6 linked regions of the Macaca fascicularis genome follow. The protein of the gene in region 1 purifies or fractionates together with the protein of each later gene. This does not show direct contact. Links are inferred from orthologs where the notes say so. Each region holds a gene or a part of one and is shown in the gene's direction. Other genes may lie near its edges. The genes, in order: PNMA2, MARK4, RECQL4, CEP290, PKN2 and TRIM33.

Evidence for each region.
Region 2: the proteins of PNMA2 (region 1) and MARK4 purify together in Homo sapiens (co-immunoprecipitation; 3 studies listed by BioGRID and IntAct, with this or other methods). This does not show direct contact. The link is inferred for Macaca fascicularis from reciprocal best matches to the Homo sapiens genes PNMA2 and MARK4.
Region 3: the proteins of PNMA2 (region 1) and RECQL4 purify together in Homo sapiens (affinity purification with mass spectrometry; 3 studies listed by BioGRID and IntAct, with this or other methods). This does not show direct contact. The link is inferred for Macaca fascicularis from reciprocal best matches to the Homo sapiens genes PNMA2 and RECQL4.
Region 4: the proteins of PNMA2 (region 1) and CEP290 purify together in Homo sapiens (co-immunoprecipitation; 3 studies listed by BioGRID and IntAct, with this or other methods). This does not show direct contact. The link is inferred for Macaca fascicularis from reciprocal best matches to the Homo sapiens genes PNMA2 and CEP290.
Region 5: the proteins of PNMA2 (region 1) and PKN2 purify together in Homo sapiens (affinity purification with mass spectrometry; 3 studies listed by BioGRID and IntAct, with this or other methods). This does not show direct contact. The link is inferred for Macaca fascicularis from reciprocal best matches to the Homo sapiens genes PNMA2 and PKN2.
Region 6: the proteins of PNMA2 (region 1) and TRIM33 purify together in Homo sapiens (affinity purification with mass spectrometry; 3 studies listed by BioGRID and IntAct, with this or other methods). This does not show direct contact. The link is inferred for Macaca fascicularis from reciprocal best matches to the Homo sapiens genes PNMA2 and TRIM33.

What each region holds. Positions count from the first base shown.
Region 1 is NC_088382.1:29,696,248-29,700,427, reverse strand, and holds the start of PNMA2 (paraneoplastic antigen Ma2 homolog), read left to right. Parts: upstream 1-1,380; 5' UTR 1,381-1,437; intron 1,438-4,180. Other genes in the region: DPYSL2 (dihydropyrimidinase-related protein 2), read right to left, coding at 574-927.
Region 2 is NC_088393.1:53,353,924-53,356,637, forward strand, and holds the end of MARK4 (MAP/microtubule affinity-regulating kinase 4), read left to right. Parts: intron 1-917; coding exon 918-1,254; 3' UTR 1,255-2,214; downstream 2,215-2,714. UniProt on the Homo sapiens protein: Serine/threonine-protein kinase. Phosphorylates the microtubule-associated protein MAPT/TAU. Also phosphorylates the microtubule-associated proteins MAP2 and MAP4.
Region 3 is NC_088382.1:154,229,658-154,233,678, reverse strand, and holds the start of RECQL4 (ATP-dependent DNA helicase Q4), read left to right. Parts: upstream 1-1,221; 5' UTR 1,222-1,296; coding exon of another isoform or gene 1,297-1,312; coding exon 1,313-1,380; intron 1,381-1,445; coding exon 1,446-1,479; intron 1,480-1,588; coding exon 1,589-2,047; intron 2,048-2,329; coding exon 2,330-3,103; intron 3,104-3,200; coding exon 3,201-3,327; intron 3,328-3,627; coding exon 3,628-3,759; intron 3,760-3,842; coding exon 3,843-3,935; intron 3,936-4,012; coding exon 4,013-4,021. UniProt on the Homo sapiens protein: An ATP-dependent DNA helicase which unwinds dsDNA with a 3'-overhang in a 3'-5' direction. Does not unwind more than 18 bp of dsDNA. May modulate chromosome segregation. The N-terminal domain (residues 1-54) binds DNA Y-shaped DNA better than ss- or dsDNA.
Region 4 is NC_088385.1:95,016,416-95,019,915, reverse strand, and holds part of CEP290 (centrosomal protein of 290 kDa), read left to right. Parts: intron 1-237; coding exon 238-345; intron 346-964; coding exon 965-1,164; intron 1,165-3,500. UniProt on the Homo sapiens protein: Involved in early and late steps in cilia formation. Its association with CCP110 is required for inhibition of primary cilia formation by CCP110.
Region 5 is NC_088375.1:146,012,151-146,016,103, reverse strand, and holds the start of PKN2 (serine/threonine-protein kinase N2), read left to right. Parts: upstream 1-1,153; 5' UTR 1,154-1,487; coding exon 1,488-1,535; intron 1,536-3,953. UniProt on the Homo sapiens protein: PKC-related serine/threonine-protein kinase and Rho/Rac effector protein that participates in specific signal transduction responses in the cell.
Region 6 is NC_088375.1:119,949,503-119,953,002, forward strand, and holds part of TRIM33 (E3 ubiquitin-protein ligase TRIM33), read left to right. Parts: intron 1-1,429; coding exon 1,430-1,704; intron 1,705-2,397; coding exon 2,398-2,562; intron 2,563-3,500. UniProt on the Homo sapiens protein: Acts as an E3 ubiquitin-protein ligase. Promotes SMAD4 ubiquitination, nuclear exclusion and degradation via the ubiquitin proteasome pathway. According to PubMed:16751102, does not promote a decrease in the level of endogenous SMAD4.

The sequences.
Region 1 (4,180 bases):
CAAGGGCGGTGCGGTGCTCTGAGGCGGTCCGGGGGGCGCTGACCATGGTCCTGGCCTCGGAGCTCAGGACGTGAGCGCAGAAGGCGCCGGCGGAGGCTGCGGGGAGCGGCCGTCGGAACCCCCACCCCTCCCGACCACCGGGGAGCCGCGGGCCTTCACGCAAAGCCTCCACCGCACGCTCCGAGCCGCCTCAAAAAAAGGGTGGGGCACCCAGTTGCAGCTGCCATCGGAAGCCGCCCGGGAGGATTTCAGAAGAATGGAACCTCGGCCAACCCCCTCCCAGGCGACCACCGCCCGCCCCAGCAAGTGATCAGCCCATCCCCTACGCCCACCCCCCACCTCTCAAGCTCAAGGAGACTCGGGCAGCCTTTGTGGGCTCACGGTCGCCCACCGCCCAGCCCGAGCCTCGCCGCACCCTGCGCGGAGAAGGGGCGGGTAGGGCGGGGTGCGCGTGCAGATGCGGGAGGCGAGGTACAGGGCGGGGCATGAAGGCGGGCGCGCCGGGCTCAGGGGCGAGGGAGGGGCGATCCCCGAGCCCCGTCCTCCGTCTCCACCCCCCACCCCCACACCGACCTGGTCGTAGATGTTCTGCAGGGCTTCCTTGCCCGAGGCCCTCCGGATCTCCACCTTCCGGCTCGATTCAACAGATGGCTCCCCGCCGGCGCGCCGGCCCTGCCGCGAGTACGGCGGCTGCGGGTCCGGACCCAAGTGGGCGACGTCCCGCTGCTGAGCCACCACTTGCCCCGAGCCCCGGCCCACCGACAGCGAGTCGAAGTCGATGGTCTTGTTCTCCGAGGACCCTTCCACCGGGCAGAACATGCCACAGAATTTCTGCCGGGGCTTGGGGCTGCCGGAGCCCAGGTTTTTAAAAAAGGCAGGGACCTCTTCGTCCTCTGCCGCCTTCCCGGATTGCTTTCTCTCGGCCATGGCTCGGGGGCTCAGGGAGGGTCCTCGCCGTCCGTCCGTCCGTCTGCCAGTCCCTAACTCTCCCTTGCTGTGTGCACAAGCCCCCTAGCTGCTGCCGCGGCTGCCGCTCGCCGCCCACCGCAAGGTGCACAGAAAGGAAGGAGGGCTGGCGAGCCGGCGACCCACCCTCCCGGTCCCTCCCCCTGACCCCGCTTCTCCCCTCCCTGCCCACGCCCCCCGCGGCTACAGCGCGAGCTCGGGTAAGCGGCAAAGTTGGATCTGGGAGGGCGTCCGCGGCGGCTGCGGGAGCCGAGAGGCTGCCAGTTCCCGGCAGCGCGGGGAGGAGGGAGGCGCGGGTGGGGCGCGGCGCCGGGGAGGGGAGCAGCGCGCAGGGGAGGGCTGGAGGGGAGGGAAGGAGAGAGAGAGGGGAGGGCGGCACCGCCCCTAGCCCCGCGCTCCGGAAGTGAAGCGGCCAGACCACCAGCTAATGGATGCGGAGCGGAGGGCCTGCTGACCGCTCTCCGCGCCTGGGTAAGTATTGGGCAGGGCACGCGGAGTGAGGACCCGAGGGCGCAGCCTTCTGCCCCAGTGCCCCTCTCCTCCACCTGCCTGGTCCAGGCGCCTCTGCCCCGTCGCATGGCGGAGGTGGGCCGGGGGCGAGGGCGCACTGTGGATAGGGCTCCCGCCCCGTTACCCTGGGTGTGAGCTGATGGATGGGAAAAGGGGACAAGCCATGCGCCAGGCTACTCAGGGTATGAGAAGGGGGTTGACACTGAAGATGAACAAGGGGTAGCACACGCAGGGTGGACAGGAGGGGGGCAGCCAAGACGCTGGACACCCAAGCTTCAGTTTGCCCACTCGCCTTGGCAGGCTGCACGGAGCAGAGACTGAAACGAGAAGGTTCCCGCTTCGTGCATCCACTTTGGTGTGGTTGGGGTGACGGGGGAGTTGGGGGACACACAACATGGCGGGAAGAAATGCAGAGGGGCGTAGCAGATGGGAGAGGAACATAGAGAGAGACGCAGGTCTGTGGTCTATGGGGGTGTAGCAAAGGGTGCAGTCGGGAATTCCAGCCCAGTGCCACGACTTAGAGAGGGGGTGCAGACCTGCTCTATTGCCCAAGGCGCCATGGACCATGTCTGCGCCACTGCACCAAGAAGGGCGCAGGAACGTGTCGCGGTTTGGTTTATTCTGCTTCCCCCACCAAAAAAACAAAAAACAAAAAGTGGGCGAAAAAACGAATAGAAACCCCCTCCCCAAATCTCCAGCTTCCCTCGCCCCAGTGCCCCGCCTGATTCCCCCGCCCCTGTTGCGCACTGCGCCACAGCCGCGGCGTTTCCCAGGTTACCAGATGCCACGTGTTTGGGGAGTGAGTGCGGGTGCGTATCTGGTGCGGAGAAGGAGGTAGGATGTGGGCTGTGAGTGCCATGAATTGTGTGGGGCCAAGCGGGGGAAAGGTGTGTAGGAACTTGGTGTGTGTGTGCAGGTAGCTGAGCCACGGCCACAGGGTGGTAAGTTTGCACCAGAGGGCAATTAGATTTGTGTGCTAACACGGTCAATGCGGGTCCTTCATTACTTATTCCCATCTCCACGTCCTTTCCGCCTATCAGTCCCTGCCTCTGCGCGATGACAGCTCCGCCTCTCTTTCCACAGTGGCAAAATCCTGCAGAAATGGTGCCCCTCCTTTGGTGGCCCGGGAGGGAGGTCTGGGCATGCTCAGTAAACCAGGGTGGGTTTGGGCTGAGAGGCCATTTACCGCAGGGCGACCGCGCAGGGCCGTGTAACCAGGAATCCAATCCCATTGTCAGCCCAGGATTAAATGCGGTTACCAACCACCCCCACCATCCAATTGTGAGAGATAGTTTGGTGAATAGAGTTACATCTGGTTGACAACCAGTCGCAGTTTGAAGATCAGCCCACCGTGATAGGTGGAAAGGCGTCTCCGGATGAGAAAGAGAGACTGAGGAAGAATATAGGAGTGGAGGGGCTGAGAGAACCCGAGGGCGCATTTTGGACTTAGCGCCAGATGTGCTTTGCATTTGAATAAAGCATTTGAAAAAAGCGCTTCCTTCTTCATTCCAAGGAAATGAATTATATCATTTCCTCCTCACAGCCCCTCTGAGATGCGTGCCTTATCAGCACTGCTTTCCAGGTTAAGAAACAGATTAAGAGAGCTTGGGGCGCATCGCCAAGGTTGGGTATTTAGTTAAATGATCCAACAATTCCAGTGAGGGCTTCCACCTCAAAGTCTGGCTTCTTTTCCAGCTTGTCCTGTGACCCCCTTTATGTGAGAAAATACAAGGTTCTTCTATTTCTACCGTATCCAGATATTTCCATCCATGGCCCTATTGTATATCAAGGGTGTTTTTTGCCATGTTTTTATTTGAATGTCACACTGCAGGTCACATTGGCAGGAAGAGTCATCCGAAGACAGCCTAACTTCAGCATGGCAGTCATTCTGTAGACCGTAGAGATGCTTTTTCCTGGGCAGTATCTTTTTACATTCCCTGTTTCCTCTAAATATCCCAGTGGGGAGGAAGGTTGCCCCCAGTTGTTTTTTTATTTTTGTTTTTGTTTTCAGAGAGAGTCTCACACTGTCACCTAGGCTGGAATGCAATGGTGCAAACGCAGCTTACTGTAGCCTTTATCCGCTCGGCTCTCTCCTCAGCCTCCCAAGTAGTTGGGACTACAGGCGACTGCCACACGCCCAGCTAATTTTTTTATTTTCCTTTTTGTAGAGACAGGGTCTCACTGTGTTGCCCAGGCTGGTCTCAAACTCCCGGGCTCAAGTGATCCTCCCGCCTTGGCCTCCCAAAGTGCTAGGTTTACAGGTGTGAGCCACTGTACCTGCCCCTCCCCCACAGCCCCCACATTTTAGAAAGGAAATGTCAGGCATGGAGAAGTCAGCAGTCTCAGGTCTGTGAGACTCCTGGGCACAGGGTGAAGCAGTATTTTGCCCTCCTGGCTCTCTGGCACCGCTGGTGCCTTCAGCACCTCCTAGAAGACTCAGGAGATGTGCCCACAGCAGGAGCACTGCTGATAGAGTTACAGGACAGCACTGTGGCGTATGGCCCCCATTCGAGTTGATGAAGATGTTTAGGCCAAGGGGGAAATGGTTGTAGCCCCTTAACACATACTCCGCAGCAGTAACTGGGAGGTATTAGGAACTCTAACTTTTTTTTTTTTTTTTCGAGACAGAGTCTCGTTCTGTTACTCAGGTTAGAGTGCAGTGGTACGATCTCGGCTCACTGCAGCTTCCACCTCCCAGGTTCAA
Region 2 (2,714 bases), on another chromosome or scaffold:
ATCCCAATTACTGGGGAGGCTGAGGCAGGAGAATCGCTTGAACCCAGGAGGCGGAGGTTGTGGTGAGCCGAGATTATGCCATTGCACTCCAGTCTGGGTAACAAGAGCAAAACTCCCTCTCAAAAAAAAAAAAAAAGCCGGGCGCGGTGGCTCAAGCCTGTAATCCCAGCACTTTGGGAGGCCGAGATGGGTGGATCACGAGGTCAGGAGATCGAGACCATCCTGGTGAACATGGTGAAACCCCGTCTCTACTAAAAAATACAAAAAACTAGCCGGGCGAGGTGGCGGGCGCCTGTAGTCCCAGCTACTCGGGTGGCTGAGGCAGGAGAATGGCGTAAACCCGGGAGGCGGAGCTTGCAGTGAGCTGAGATCCGGCCACTGCACTCCAGCCTGGGCAACAGAGCCAGACTCAGTCTCAAAAAAAAAAAAAAAAAAAAAAAAAAACAGAAATTTCTCATTCAAACCATGTGGCCAAGCCAGGCTGGTAGGGCCACCCGGATCTGCGCAATCATTCACGTCCCCAGGTTTTTCCATCCCCATTCCCTGAAGCCCTCATGTCATCTTCACAATTGAGGCTGGCTTGTGCCACTGCTCAGTCCAGCTCCTGGGAGATGCGGGACAGGAGAGCCTGGAGCATGCAGGTTCTCTGAAGGAACTGATGTGGTGGCACACCTCACTTCTGCTCATGTCCCAGAATTTAGAGACAGGGTCACACCTGGCTGCAAGGGAGGCTGGAAAGTGTGGTCTCCAGCTGGGGGGCAGCTCTGTTCCAGTTGAAACTGTCACTGGCATAGCAGGGGAAGTTTTTTGAGGGGACGGCTAGGAATCTGTCCCAAATTGGGAAGAGGTATCCCTTCAGCCCTCCACCACATTCCTCTTCGCTCCCATCTCTGACCCCTGATATCTTCTCACCTCAGTTGCCATCTACCTTGGGATCAAACGGAAACCGCCCCCCGGCTGCTCCGATTCCCCTGGAGTGTGAAGCTGACCAGCTCGCGCCCTCCCGAGGCCCTGATGGCAGCTCTGCGCCAGGCCACAGCAGCCGCCCGCTGCCGCTGCCGCCAGCCACAGCCGTTCCTGCTGGCCTGCCTGCACGGGGGTGCGGGCGGGCCCGAGCCCCTGTCCCACTTCGAAGTGGAGGTCTGCCAGCTGCCCCGGCCGGGCTTGCGGGGAGTTCTCTTCCGCCGTGTGGCGGGCACCGCCCTGGCCTTCCGCACCCTCGTCACCCGCATCTCCAACGACCTCGAGCTCTGAGCCACCACGGCCCCAGGGCCCTTCCTCTTCCTCTCCCTTGTCCCCTTCACTTCTAAAGGAGGGGAAGGGGCCAGGGAGGGGAATTCTCCCTTTATCATCACCTCAGTTTCCCTGAATTAGATTTGGGGGCAAAGATTGTCCCCTCTGCTGTTCTCTGGGGCCGCTCAGCACAGAAGAAGGATGAGGGGGCTCAGCGGGGGGAGCTGGCACCTTCCTGGAGCCTCCAGCCAGTCCTGTCCTCCCTCACCCTACCAAGAGGGCACCTGAGGAGACTTTGGGGACAGGGCAGGGAGGGAAACTGAGGAAATCTTCCATTCCTCCCAACAGCTCAAAATTAGGCCTTGGGCAAGGGCAGGGAGAGCTGCTGAGCCTAAAGACTGGAGAATCTGGGGGACTGGGAGTGGGGGTCAGAGAGGCAGATTCCTTCCCCTCCCCTCCCCTCCCGCTCAAACCCCCCACTTCCTGCCCCAGGCTGGCGCGGGGCACTTTGTACAAATCCTTGTAAATACCCCACACCCTCCCCTCTGCAAAGGTCTCTTGAGGAGCTGCCGCTGTCACCTACGGTTTTTAAGTTATTACACCCCGACCCTCCTCCTGTCAGCCCCCTCACCTGCAGCCTGTTGCCCAATAAATTTAGGAGAGTCCCCCCCCCCACCCCAGTGCTGACCCTAGAATTTTCCTTCCCTGCCCTCACCTGCAAATGAGTTGAAGAAGAGGCCTGGGAATCCAGGCAGTGGTTTTTCCTTTCAGAGCCTCGGTTTTCTCATCTGCAGAATGGGAGCAGTGGGGGTGGGAAGGTAAGGATGGTCATGGAAGAAGGCAGGATGGAACTCGGCCTCATCCCCGAGGCCCCAGTTCCTACATCGGGCCCCCCATTCATCCACTCACACTCCCAGCCACCATGTTACACTGGACTCTAAGCCACTTCTTACTCCAGTAGTAAATTTATTCAATAAACAATCATTGACCCGTGCCTACTCCATGCCAGGTCCAGTGCTGGACACAGAGACACAAAGCCCTGTCTGTGGGAGACATGGATTCTGACACAGACACTGGACAGGGGAGTCCAGAAGAGAAAGCGGGCAGGGTGGGGTCACTGGGGAAGATGCTCTAGAGGAATTAATGCTTGAGTGGAGTGTTGAAGGATGAGTAGGAGTTGGCTAGGCATTGAGTTTGCCCTGGGCAAAAGCCCAGAAGTGGGAGTATGTGGTATATCTTCAGAGAACTGGGTAATTTCAGTGTGGCTACTGTGTTGGGCATGGATGGAGAATTAACAAGAGAAATGCTGTATTAGGACTAATAATCCATCTATACTGCTTAAGCAAAAAGGTATTTGTTGGCTTAGCTTACTCAATAGTACAGGGGCACCTGACTTCAGGTAGGTTTGATCCAGGCATCAGACCATTGCATCTATTTTTCAGTGTAAGTTGAATTCTAGTAGTTTGTATCAAGTAAGTGCA
Region 3 (4,021 bases), about 120 Mb from region 1:
TCCAAGCCTTCAATATAAGCCCCCCCCAAAAAAAACTATTCTCCAGAGTGTCACCAAGCACGAAGACCCCTGAAAGAAAGCAACCTTCACCTTTGGTGGCTCTTACCAGTGGCCTAAAACCTCTCCCTCTTCCCTGGAGAGCCACTGTGGAAAGAACAAGTCTTAAGTATGTGGGATTCGGAAGGTGCAAGGCTACAGATTGCTCAGACAAGGCAAAGAAAGCTGCCTAAGCAGCACCCAAGCTGCAGAGATGCGCGCGAACACTCCCAAGGCCACAAGGTACCTGTGACACAGGGTGCCAGCCCTGCTGCTGACTGCAGCATCCTCAAAACTAAATCGCAGCCATCTCCCTGTGACAGATTAGAAAATGAAGGCCTAGGCCTGGCCCAAGGTCACAGCCTGAGTGACAAGTCAGGGAAGGGGTCTAGGGAGGACACTCTGGCCCCAGGGCCCTTGTTTTTGCACATACAAATAAGTCCTTAAAGAACCGCTTCCTGAAAAGTCCCAGACACCAACCCTCGGTCTCATTCTGAGATCTCAACGGTCATACCTCGCTCTGACAGGACAGACCAACCGAGCACCTGTCACGGGAGTACACGAAAGCAGACGGCCTGGCCACCAAGGGAGGCAGGCACCTCCGTGCGAGGCCCCCGCCCCTCCCGCCGGCCACGGGGAACGCGTCGGCCCTCGGCTGCCTGCGTTTCGAAAAGACGCCCCCGCCCGGCTCCTCTGGGCCTCGAGTCGCGGGAGGCGCTGGTCCCTCCGCTCTTTCTTGTCCCGGGCGGGGCCTGCTCCTCCAAGCCAGGTGCGTCTCCCACCAGGGCCTGACGCCGCTCCGACCGGCCGGGGGACTCCCAGTCCTTCCCGGCCCGCTATGGCACCGCCCGGGCTCCCGGCTTCGGCCCCGGGCTCCCAAATGCAGCTACTGCCTCCCTCAGCCGGGCCGCCCCGAGCGACCGCTGCCACGCCCCTTGCGGCCAGGCAGGGCCAGGGACGTACGCCGCCCCACTCCGACCCCCGCCTGGCCGCCTGCGCTCACCGGTCCCGCAGCCGCAGCCACCGCCTCCGGCCCCGCCTAGACCGTCCGCCGCGCCCCGCACGGCGCCGCGGCGCCCCGCGATGACGTCGGCGCCCCCCATTGGTTGCTTGTCCAGGGCCCGGCGGATTGGCTGCCTGGTCGCGGTGGCCCCGCCCCCGGCCTGCCGCGCGCCCGCATTGGCTGTTGGCCCCATCGTCTGCGGCGCGGGAGATTCGCTGGGCGGCCGCTGGACTGCTCGGAGACCTGGCGGGCCCGCCATGGAGCGGCTGCGGGATGTGCGCGAGCGGCTGCAAGCGTGGGAACGCGCGTTCCGGCGGGAGCGCGGGCGGCGGCCGAGCCAGGTACGGGATGCCCTGGGGCCGAGGGGCTGAGGGCGCGGCCCGCGGCTGACGCGTTCCCTTTACAGGATGACGTGGAGGCGGCGCCGCAGGAGACCCGCGGTGAGCGCGCGGCGGGGTGGCGGGGTCCCGGGTCGACGGAGGCGGGAGGACGCCAGGTCGGCGGGGGCCCAGGCTCCACCCTGACCCCGCCTCCCGCCCGCCCACGCAGCGCTCTACCGGGAGTATCGTACTCTCAAGCGGACCGTGGGCCAGGCCGGCGGCGGGCCCCGCAGCTCCGAGTTGCTCCCCGTGGCCGTCGAAGAGGTATCCAGGCCCCGCCACCCCAGCCTCCTCCCACTTTCCTGTTTGGCGGAGTGGCAGGAGCCACGGAGTCGCGGCCAGGCCTCCGTGGGGCACAGAACTTGGGAGGGGGACTGAGCAAAGTGAAGACGGGCCGGGCCTCGCTCCAGGTGTGAGGGGGTGGGTGGGAGCGCCTCTGCTTCCACACCAGCCTTTTTCTGGCCTGCGCCCCTACTGTCTCCTGCAGGCACCAGAGTCCCACTGCTGGGGGCCCCACCTGAATCGGGCTGCAACCCACAGTCCACAACATACGCCAGGGCGGAGCTGCCAGGGGTCGGTGCCGGACTACGGGCAGCGGCTCAAGGCCAACCTGAAAGGCACCCTGCAGGTGAGGAGTTAGCAAGCAGTGAGTCCACACTAGGTCCAGAGGTGCTTCTGGCCCGGGGTTGTTTCTTGTCACTCTTTCCACACAGACAGGCACAGGCTCCTGTGCCAACCAGGGCACGAGTCTCCACGGAGTTTCTCGGGGCCTTCGCCCTTGACTCCCTTTCTAGGCCAGCCTTGTGCTAATTAGCCTGTCTTACCATTGAAGGTGGGAACTCAGGCAGGTTTCAGAGTCTACAGAAGCCCAGGGGCCTGAGTTTCTGCTGCCATTCTGTTCCCTTCCCAGGCCGGACCAGCCCCAGGCCGCAGACCCTGGCCTCTAGGAAGATCCTCATCCAAGACGCCCACCCCAAATCCCCCAGGCACAAGGCCTGTCCCCACCTTTGCAGAAAAAGTCAGTGATGAGCCTCCACAGCCCCCTGGGCCCCAGCCAAGGCCGGGCCAGCTGCAGCACCTGCAGGCATGCCTGAGCCAGCAGCTGGCCTCCCTAGATCTTGACTGGTTACAGCGATGTCACAGTGAGATCCCAGACTTTCTGGGGGCCCCCAAAGCCTGCAGGCCTGGCCTAGGCTCAGAGGAATCACAGCTTCTGATCCCGGGTGAGTCAGCTGTCCTTGGTCCTGGTGCTGGCTCCCCAGACCCAGAGGCTTCAGCCCTCCAAGAAGTCAGCATCCGTGCAGGGAGCCCCCAGCCCAGCAGCAGTCGAGGCAAGAAGCAGAGACGGAACAAGGAGCTCTGGGGGAGCCCCGCACAGGTCCAGCAGCAGAGCAGCCAGGCTGGACCCCCATCGGAGGGGGCTGGGGCTGTCGCACTTGAGGAAGACCCTCCAGGGGAACCTGTACAGGCACAGCCACCTCAGCCCTGCAGCAGTTTGTCGACCCCCAGGTACCACAGATTCAGCACCTCCAGTCAAGCTAGGGCGGGTAAGGCTGAGGGCACAGCCCATCTGCACATCTCTAGGCTGGCCCGCCATGACAGGGGCAATTACGTACGGCTCAACATGAAGCAGAAACGCTACGTGCAGGGCCGGGCACTCCGTGGCAGGCTCCTCCGCAAGCAGGTGAGACGGCGATGGACTGGGACAGGCCCTCCCTTTCCCTCCCCTCAGCACCCCTGCATGTCCCACCCAGTGACCCTCCTATGTGGGCACCCTTCAGGCATGGAAGCAGAAGTGGCGGAAGAAAGGGGAGTGTTTTGGGGGTGGTGGTGCCACAGTCACGATCAAGGAGTCTTGTTTCCTGAATGAACAGTTTGATCACTGGGCACCCCAGTGTCCTCAGCCAGGTGAGACATCTGCCCTGGAGGGTGGGTCTGGCCACCACTGTGGAGAGGGCACGGTACTCTTTTGGGCGACACTTCTGTTCCAAGCAAAAGACCTTCCAGGTGCCCCTGGTCCAGGCCCTACTCTGGCTCCCCCAAAGCAGGGTGGCAAGGATGAGGATGGGTATCAACCTTTTATGCTTTAAAAGAAGTAGCACAGAAGAAGGGCACTGCCTGCTGCCAACCCCTTTGGGGGAAGAGAAGGTTGTGGCCAATGGTTGTTTTGCTTGGAGCTCCCATTCCACCTTCTCTTGCCTGCCCCAGTAAGTGAGGAAGACACAGACCCTGCTGGCCCTGAGCCGCTGGTTCCTGCACCACAACCTGTGCCTGGGGTGCCCGGCCTGGCCTCCACCATGCTGCCACTCTACTCCTTGGGGCCCTCAGGGCAGCTGGCAGGTAAGCAGTCAGCTGCTGGCCCAGAGCCTTTACCGAGGGGTTGGTGTGACTTAAGTCATGGTGGTCAACACCTGTGTCTGCAGAGACGCCGGCTGAGGTGTTCCAGGCCCTGGAGCAGCTGGGACACCAAGCCTTCCGTCCTGGGCAGGAGCGTGCAGTCATGCGGATCCTGTCTGGTGAGCGTGGCTGCCGGGGCTGAGGCCGGGCTGAGGCCAGGCTGCAGAACCCCGCTGCTGACTCGCGCCCCACACAGGCATCTCCA
Region 4 (3,500 bases), on another chromosome or scaffold:
TAGATACGTGTTATTCTAATGTTCAGAATAAATTATGAACTGAGGCTGGGCCTGTCAACTTGAACACTGTGCGAGGGAACATGCCTACCGGTCTAAATACATACATATATGGAGATACTGTTTCTTCCTCATCTCGAAGGAATTTTAGAAGATTAAAGAGAAAATATATAAGGTCTTCAAAATGTGAATTTATTTTAATCACAATTTAAGATATAGTTTTGATTTTCTTTAAAACAGGAGCAAAGAGAAATTGTGAAGAAACATGAGGAAGACCTTCATATTCTTCATCACAAATTAGAACTACAGGCTGATAGTTCACTAAATAAATTCAAACAAACAGCTTGGGTAAGATTCTAAGAACTTTGTTCCATTCTTTATTGATTTTTAGACCAAATACATTAAAATTCAGTTATCTTCTCCTTTTTTGGAATACAAGTTACGCTTTTTGTTGCCAAAGTAATCTTCTGAAAATGTAGCTCTGATCATTCTTCCTCCTGTAGCTCATCACTGTTCACAAAATTATATTTATACTCCTTACCCATATACTCAATCTTCTATGAACTTACCTGCCTTTCTTTTCAAATTCTATTCACTATAAGTTTACCTATATTTAACTTCCGGAATTCAGCTCATATTTGCCTCTTTTGACCATTCTGTTCCATATGTATGAAATGATGTGTCTTTCATCTTTTAATGTATAACCTTAGCATATTTGAGCCTTACTTCATTAATTCAGTCAACATTTATTGATCTCCTGCTACATGTAGACACTTTGTTAGCTATTGTAAATACAAAGAATAAGGTCTATATTTCCTGTCTTCTTTAAGCCTTCATTATCTGTTAAATCATTAAATTTTAGATTAGATATTGTATTTTGATCATTTGAAGAACCAATTTAAAAATATAGAATAAGTATGGCATTGAAATATACATGCCTGTTTGCTAATATATTCATATTTTATAGGATTTAATGAAACAGTCTCCCACTCCAGTTCCTACCAACAAGCATTTTATTCGTCTGGCTGAGATGGAGCAGACAGTAGCAGAACAAGATGACTCTCTCTCCTCACTCTTGATCAAACTAAAGAAAGTGTCACAAGATTTAGAGAGACAAAGAGAAATCACTGAATTAAAAGTAAAAGAATTTGAAAATATCAAATTACGGTAAGTCTTCAAAATGTATTGTAAAAATAGGCAAATGATAATAATGATATAATGAAGATAAACATAAGTGTTTGCTATGCTAGGCACTGTTCTAAGACTTTTAAGTATATTGTCTCATTTTTATCCTCAGGTCTACTGATTACATATGTTATCATTTTCCCCATTTTATAGAGAGGATATGACCTCAGGAATGCTTAATAGCATGCCTGGGAGTAGATGGGAAAGCCATAATTTGAAACTAGTCAGTCTGACTCAAAAGCCAATACAAATTCTTTTCCAGAATCTCATTTTTACCTTATTCAAACCTCAGTTTCATCTTATTTATTTATTTATTTTTATTGTTTTATTTATTTATTTATTTTTGAGAAAAGTCTGGCTCTATTGCCTAGGCTGGAGTGTAGTGGCATAATCTCGGCTCACTGCAACCTTGACCTTCTGGGCTCAAGCTATCTTCCCACCTCAGCCTCCAGAGTAGCTGGCACTACAGGCAGGTGCCACCACACCTGGGTAGTTTTTTGTATTTTTGTGGAGACAGGGTTTCTCCATGTTGCCCAGGCTGGTCTCGAACTCGTGAGTTCAAGTGATCCGCCCACTTCGGCCTCCCAAAGTGCTGGGATTACAGGCCTGAGTCACTGCACTTGGCCTCATCATCTTTAAAATGGAAATAGCAGTACTTACCCTGGCCCTTTCAGGGTGGTTATATGAAGGTCAAATTATACCATGTATGAAAGTAATTTGAAAACTGTCAAATAACATACAGATAAAAAACTTTTGTTTGCACACTTATAAGAGTGTCTGGCATATAATAGAGATTCTAACATTGTTCAACCAATTTATCAGAACATAGATTTTAAGCTCAAAATAGGTTTATAGTTTCGTAGTTTCTAAACATTGTAGTATTATCTGTATGGGCCTAAATTTTATTATCTGAAAAAACATGAGAAAGTTGAACTACTTGACTTATAATTCCATTTCAGCTCTCAAGCCCCTATTAGAGCCTTTGATTCTTTACACTCTTATTCAAATGCCTATGACAGAATTAACACTATTTTTGTTTTACTAGGGAGCTGCCACTGTTAAGAAATTACTTTCTAAAAGAAGGAAAATTGGCAGCAGCATATGTGTATTTTCAGTCTCTTTTCCTTGCTCTATTAAATTTTGTACATGAGATGTTATTTTTGGTCTAGTAAATTTCTGTCATGTTTTGGAGTATAAAATGACTTGTGCTTTTGCATCCAATTTGTGGGTGTAGAAAATAATAATCTTTTGAAATACCTTATATAATTTTTTTCCACATGAAATAATTGAAGTTATTGTTGTGTACCTTATCATGTCATTGTAGCCCAAAATTGTACTTGTGTTCTCTGTGTGCCCATTTTGATGTATATTAGGAAATTATGGATCCGTGTGATTACTTAAGTAAAACCTGATATTTTCACAATTTGATGATGACTCTTTAAAGTTAGACTTAAGTTTTGCCAAAAGCAAGAAGCCTCAAAGAATAACATTTGTTCATGTGTTAATGCTGTCTCCCTCTTACTGGTCAGAACCTCAGTACGGATGCAGTGTCCATATGCACAACAATATATTAATTCAGTTTAACAGACTTAATGCTGAATGAGCAATAAGATTAATTGAATTAACTAAATCTTTTAATACTATCCACTTCCATATATATATATAGTTACAGATACAATGCTAGTGAATTTGTACCATAAACAAATAAATAATACATGTGATTTCTGTGAAAATTTATATTAGTCTTTTCAATATGTCAATATAGGGCAGTATTTCTCAAATATAGAGGATCAGTTTTTCACAGTTGTACCTCTTGGGGACATTTGACGATGTCTGGAGACATTTTTGATTGTCATGGCTAGGGGGTGCTACTGATATCTAGTGGGTAGAATCAAAAGATGCTACTAATCATCCTATCATACACAAGGCAACCCCACTAACAACAAAGAATCATTCACTCAAAAATGTTACTAGTAGTGTGGTTAGGAAACTATCATATAGAGGAAGCAGTCAAATTTTACAAGAGCCATAGTATCTAAAATGCCCTTTTGTTCATTCTCTATATTATTTGATTAGAGTCACAAAATAATTTGATAAGATTGTTGCCAAAAATATTAGAAACTAGAAGAAAAACGTGTTGTTAAATTAAAGAGTAGTTAAGTGAAATAAAGAATTACTCTTCTCTGGATTTGGCTGCCTGCATCAAGATTTAGATTGTAAGGATAGTTAGGACTGAACATTTGCTCTGTGTGAAATTTGTATTAATCAAGGTATTAATTGCAGCAACCACTCTATTAATTACATGTGTTTGGCCAGGT
Region 5 (3,953 bases), on another chromosome or scaffold:
GCGTGTGACAAGTACGTAATATTACGCTTCCTAAGAATTATGTCAACGAATGTCCTTCCTAAGTAGCAACCTACCTAAATAACCCTTACCACTTTCTCCAGGTAGTTTTTAACAAAGGAATTGCACCGCAGCTTCAAAAAATTGAAAGTTACGTGTTTACCTATCCATTCACTGCTCAGACAAAACAAAAACAAAAGCTACCTGTGGGAGACTTCTAAATTCCTTAATACTACAGTGTCATTAAAAACAAACACCTAGATTTACTCTACTTAGCTATATGTTACTAAGTAGTCAGGTTAGCTTTAATGCTTACCACGACAAGGAGAGTTGGCTTTTTTCCTTTCCCGAGGGTAATCCCGTCCCACCTCCTCCCTCTTTAAATAAAGTTAAAACAATCCAAAAAACCAGCTAATTCTCAGCTCTAGAGTTCTCCAGCACAAGAAACAGTAGTTCAGCTTCAAGAAAAAGGCATCTTAAAGGCTGTGCATTAAAAGTTGCCAGGGATCCAGCCGCTTACATTTCATGAAAAGTACAGACCAGACCCGTTTAGCAAGCTGCGCACCTTAACTGGTCCAGAAGGCGCGCTGTGGGCTGGGGAAGAGGGTGAGCAAAAGGCAAGATTATTAGTTTGGGTTGATGGGGATGGCCGGGCAAGGGAAGAACAGAGGAGTAATCTGTAAGATCTGAGTTCCGAAGCTTTTTGGGTTGTGGAGGTTACAAAAGTGCCTGTTAAAGTTAGGCCCAAGCTTCGGCAAGGTAGAACTGGGGGGAAAAAAAGAAAAAGAAAAAAAATAAAAAACCTAAAAAAACAACAGCGAGCAGGCTCCCGAGTTCTAGTGTTCACAGTGAGGCCGTTAACGCAGCAGGAAAGTAGGCGTGTGTTTTCTTCCTCTTCCCGCCTCCCCAGAGACTCCAGCCCAGTCCTTTCCCCTCATTTTCACCCCAGCCGAGTCCAATGGCTGCCCTCGCGCGGAGTCGGGTCGGAAGCCGCCCCGCCCTCTCGCCTTGCTAGCCCTGGGGAACCCCTCTGCCCCACCTTCCCAGCCCGATGAGAGGCAGTGACTGCCGCCGTCACGTGTGCTGGCAGCCGCCAAGTGAGGCCGCTTTTGCGACGCGGTGACAGCCAAATGGTGCGACAGGAGGAGCTACAGCCGCGGCCGCAGCGCCCCGCACGGAGAGACTTGAGGCGGCTCCTGGCGTCGCCCAGAGGGAGCGACTAGGCGAACAGTCCGGTGCGGGCGGCGGCGGCGGCGGGCGGGCGGCGAGAGGAAGCCCGCTACGAGTGCCCTCGCACCCCCGCCGCTCTCGATGAACCGGACGGAATAAGCCGCGCCTCCAGCAGGGGCTGCGCCTCCATGAATCCCTAGTTTTTGTGTTTTTTTTTTTTCTTCTCTCCCCGTTCCTCACCCCCCACCCTGAGCCCCGTCCCGCCTTCTCCCTTTGCCAGCGGCGGCCGCCTCCAGGTGCGGAGTCCATACCGGAGCGCAATGGCGTCCAACCCCGAACGGGGGGAGATTATGCTCACGGAACTGCAGGTAAGGGCCGCGGCCCTGGCGAGAGTCGCTGGCTGAGTAGACAGGGAAAGAGCCCCGCGCGGCGTCGGGGACCAAGGAAAGCCCTGCGGCCGCCGCGCCCCTAGCCCGCTAAGTGCGGAAAGTCCGGGATGTCACTCGGGAACTGCTTCCCTCGGGGAACCGCTTCCCTCGGGAGCCAGACCCTCTCCCCCGCCAAAGCCCTGGCCTGCCACCGCTTTGCTTTGATTCTGCCTACCAGAGGGAACCCCATCTCTGCAGCCCTGCTGCAGCTGGAGCCTGCTCTCGCCCGGTCCCTGGAGAGGCCGGCCCGTCGCCCCCTCCCGCGGTGTCAGAGCTGCCCGCGAACGCCCCTGTCGCCCCCTCCCTTCGCGCGGCTGGGCCCCGCCCCGCCTTTCCTCCGTACTCGGCTCCTTAAACTCTTTTGAATGACTCCCAAGCTGTTTTCTTGTCCCTCCCCCTCCCCTCAGACTCCGCACAAAGAGCGCCCCCATAACTTCCAGCCCCTAGACAAGTTTTTTTTAAAAAAACGAGTCTCACCAAATGCTTGCTTCACTTCGCCAGCCCTCTTCAGGTGGCAGAATTTCTTTCCTCTATTTTGAGAGTTATCTTTTTCTTTTCCTTTTTTTTTTTTTTTTTTTTAAACTAAGTGATAGATACACGGTGCCTTTCTCGGCTACCCCTGCCCAGATCCGGAAGCTCAGATGCTGATGCTTTTCAGACTTTCATTTTCCCTCTCATTTGAGCACCAGAGAAAGAGCTATATAAGTTGTTTACTAATGAGAAAGGGAAAACTTGGGCACCACATGTCTGCAAAAGATAAGAGCAAAATAGATCGCTTAGTTAAGTCCATGTCGAGTAGCAGTATTATTATTTTCCCATTTCCAGCTAAATATTTGATGATGTAGGCACGATTTTCGTTTTTAGATCTCTATGGTGTACATGGGGACTTAAGCTACCCTGTCGGGTTTTTCATTACTTGGCAGTGTTCCAGAAGTGTTTACATCTGAATTTTAACAAAGATGTTAAAATTTCATGTTTTTTTGACTTAAAAGTTATTTTGCTTTATTTTAATATAGTTATCTTTTAGCTACTCGAAGATTGTAGATGGGAATTAGGGAAAAAAATAGCATGCTTGCATGTCTTTTTGTGTGTTGGACAGTTAATTTTTTTAAAGAAAGACTAAATCTAGAAATTCTGAAACAGTTGATTCTTGATGTCAAAATTAAGTATTGCAACTGCATCTAAATTTCTTGTTTAAATACACTTTTTAAGAAATCTCTTTATAAGTTTGGTTTCTTGTGCAGTCAGACGTAAGGTTGAAAACGTTGGTATAATAGTTGATATTCCTCCACAAAAATAGAGATTGTAACAATGTATACCAATGCAGTGTTGCACATTTAGAATCCTTTGGTAATGCAAAGCTGAATTTCATATCATTGAAAATGTTGCTATGTAATATTTTAATTACAGTTAGCCTTTTATAAGCAGATCGTACAGCATACCACATTTGCTAAATGAATGTAATTTACTATTTTATTAATAGTAAATAATTTGCATCAGCTTTTAAAATGGAGATGATGTGAGGCAAGTGAGAAATACTTTACATTACCTGGTCTTGAACCATGAAAAACATACTTTGGTTTTGATTGAGAAGGATGATAGGGTCAGTTTTCTTTTGAATTGAGCAGTGTTCGAGTTATAATATATTTGGCATTGTTACTTGTATTTTATAGAAAATTGGCATAAAAGACACCTACTTTGGCACTGGAACTGAAAATTATATTTTCATGTGTATTAAAATACAACATTTAGGATCTTTTAATTAAAAAGATCAATTTTGGTAATAACAAGGAAGCAAGCAAAGAAGGAAGAAATTTTCAATATGATGACTTAGAAATATGACCAAAATAGAGGAACACCTAAAGTTAAGCTTCTAGATAAACTGAAATATAACCCCTTCCAGAAAAAAGAATAGTTTTTATTAAGTGTTACCTTATAGGTTGTCATATATCCAAGTCATTTTCTTGGTTTATTTGACTCCCAGTTTTGATAAAAGTTATTGCATTTAAACTTTATCGTGTTTATTAAAATTTTTGAGAATATTACTTACATCAACACTAAAGATAGTCATAAAGTTTGCTTCACCAAATATTTCCATCCGTTCAAACATTTTATTTCATTGGGTCCTGAAACTTAGTGTACAGTAACCAAGTATTTATTAAACTTTCGTTTCAAGAATCAGTTTTTTTAAAAGCTTCTAAATTGTTTGAACTTAGACTGAAATACTGTTTAATATGACATTCTTAATTCTTTTCTGCCATACAGATTTTAAGTATTTAAGAAATTCTGTAGCCAGTTTTAAGATGTATTTAATGGTTAAAACTGTTACTTTGCTATGTATCCTGTCTCAGGAATACT
Region 6 (3,500 bases), on another chromosome or scaffold:
TAACTTGGAACACTGAATTAGGAGGAGAAAATAAAGCAAATTTAGATAAAATTTTTAACTTTAAAATATAAAACTATTTACGTTTTACATTTTATGTAAAAATATGTTGTTATTCATTGGAAACTCACTTTAGCTGTGGTTTTGTATGCCAGTCATTACGTCTTAAGAAAGTTGAGAGTCTACTCTGTATATATTTTTTTAATGTGTACTGTTTCTAGACCCCCGACCCGCTATCTTTTAAATTTATATTGACTGTTTCGTATAGAAATCTTAGCAAATGATTCATTGTCTGGAATAATTTCATAGGTGTTTAGTTGTTTAATTAAGCCAAATTGTGCATTAGCAGCAGACTTTTAGGATGCTAATGTGTCCAGTAGTTAGGTCCTGAGGAATGTTTGAAAGATAAGAGTAGCTCTTTTCACATGGAAGAGAAATGGATTTTGCTTTTGTTTACAGCATAGTATGGACCTAAAGACCATAGATGAAAGTTACAGAGAGCTCAATTAAAACACATGCATACAAACTTCTTAGCAATTAGAGTAAGCTATCTACAGATTGAGTAAACTCACTTTCAGAACAGTTAAGTCTTAAACAGTGGGAATTGTAAAAGCAGAGGCTGATTGCCCTTCTGTTATTTAAAAAAAAAAAAGTAATCTTTGCATACAAGAAAAAAATTATATTCAAATTTAGCTATAGCCTTAGTTCTGGCATCAGCCAGCTGTTTCTGTGTGACATGGTAGCTAAGAATGGTTTTTATGTTTTCAACTGGTTGTAAAAACAAAAACCAAGGACTGTGAGACAGATCTTATGTGGCCTGCCAAGCATAAAATATTTACTCTGTGGCCCATTACAGGAAAAGCCTGTCAACCTGCACCTTAAATCACATCTTCCTAAAATTTGGCTTCTGTCCCTGGAAATCTATGGCTCCGTAAAAAGCAAGGAAAACCATCACTTCTAAGGATATAAGTTGTTTAAAGCATTCAGTATTTCCTCAGAAGATGCTTTTGTGGCATTGTAATGCTCTGCCTTGCATATTTTGGCAATTCAAAGGCAGATGGAATCAGTATTAGCAATCTCGAGTATTCTTGAGTAAGTCTTGTCATGGGAGAATTGATTTAGATTGATTCGATAGGCCTCTTCTAATAGATATCTCTTTTAGTCTCTTAGTTTTCTGTACGTCTGTGTAAAAAAGAATAAAGGCAGAGAATATATTTTTCTGAATAACCAAAAGTCATTTATTCAGCTTTGGAATGTATTAAGTTTCTGATCATCATCATCATCATCTTTAAACTGACTCCATTCCCTGCTGTACCGTTGGAGCTTTGAGGTGCTGGTAGTTGTCAGAGGAAAGAGGAAAACATGGTGATTACTCAACAAAGTAGATGATTTAGTTGATTATATGCAAATTCTCATTTTTTAAATTTTTCAGGTAATCTAGTAATAGAGAGTAAACCAACTCCTGGTTATACTCCTAATGTTGTAGTTGGGCAAGTTCCTCCAGGGACAAACCACATTAGTAAAACCCCTGGACAGATTAACTTAGCACAGCTTCGACTTCAGCACATGCAACAACAAGTGTATGCACAGAAACATCAGCAGTTGCAACAGATGAGGATGCAGCAACCACCAGCACCTGTACCAACTACAACAACAACAACACAACAGCATCCTAGACAAGCAGCCCCTCAGATGTTACAACAACAGGTAAGTATGGTGTTACTACATTATTGATAGAAATTATGAAGTCCTCAACGTGACAGTTTTTCCTATGTAAGAAAGTTACACATTTCAGAGTTACTAGCAGGACTTTGAGCAGAGCTCAAAAGTCAGAGTTTAAATATTTGCTGTGGTTATGATGGTGATATAAGGGAGGTATGAAGAAAGGCAGTAAATAAATTTTCTTGGGAAACAGAATTAATTCACTAATACTGTGGAAGGATGTAAGTTCTCATCCTTTCACATCAAATCTTTTTTGTTTTCCACGTGTAATTGTGTGGACCAAAGGACCAGATTGTTTCTGCCTGGGATCTGATATGTTCCTTAGGCATTTGTTCAAATCATTCCTATCCGTATGTGTCTTTTGCTGTCTCCACTGCCATCCCAATCAAAACTATTAATCCAGAATGGGTTAAGTTAATGTTGATACGCTTTAAACACACATACAGAGAGAAAGAGAGGGAACGGAAAAGAGAGAGAGAGAAAAGGGAAATTAGGGAGTGATACACAAACTAGTCATTACCAGTCCTCTGGGGATTGGGGCTAGCGATAAGAATTATTTATACTTTTTACTTGATACCCTTTTATCTTGACTCAATTATTTTTATGATTACATTTTATAATTAAAATATAAGTTTATTTTAAAATTATTACATAAATTGCAATTTCTACTTTTTGTAGCCTCCTCGATTGATCAGTGTGCAAACAATGCAAAGAGGCAACATGAACTGTGGAGCTTTTCAAGCCCATCAGATGAGACTCGCTCAGAATGCTGCCAGAATACCAGGGATACCCAGGCACAGCAGCCCTCAGTATTCCATGATGCAGCCACACCTCCAAAGACAAGTATGCCTAGAGTTACATTTGTAAGAATCCTACAATTTTAAAATTAAAAGACACCATTTTCTTAATCACTTTTTGGGAGCAGGTCATTGATATGTTTGAGAATTTGATTAATGCTGTATATCCTCTTGTCCCAGAAAAATAAACATACACATGAGATTTTGTATTTAATTTTAAGAGCTTTTAAAAATTGCCTTAAGTGCATCATATACTATGGGTTAAGAAACCCTGATATAGTTAACCCATTCAATTTACAGAAGTGAAAAACAAATCTAATGAGCTGGTGATTTTACCCACAATCCCAAAAAGCAGTGATAAAATAGCAAGAACCTTAATGCTGCTCTGCTCTTTTAATGTGACTTTTTGATCCTAATATATAAAAAGGGCTTTGAGAGTAATAGAGCTAACTGTATTTTTTTTTAACCTTTTCTGTACTCAAATATTGTTCCTTTTAGGATGTAGATACGTTTTAATAAGTGTATTTAGATACATGTTTCATAATCTTTGCCTAGTTATGTTTATATGGGAGATATGAGTATAAAGTGAGGCCACTTTTTCATAGGATTTCTAGTTACAATAGAGTTTATTTTTTAACTCTTAGAATGATGTTTCTCAAAACATGTTTTAAAGACCATCAGAATCACCAGTCAGCTTGGGTGGGGTGGGCGACCTTGTCAGAATAGATTCCTAGCCATAACCACTGAATCAGAATTTCTAGGTGGGGAGTACTCAGTAATATTTAAGTTTGTACTAAGTCTCTCAGGTCAGTCTGCATAGTAAAGTTGGAGAAACACTGTCCTAGAACAGTGGTCCTTCAACTTTTTGGTCCATGTATGTCGAGAAAGAGCTCCTTAAAATAACACGCTTCTTGGTTGGGACTGGTGGCTCACACCTGTAGTCCCAGCATTTTGGGAGGCCGAGGCAGGAGGATTGCTTGAGCC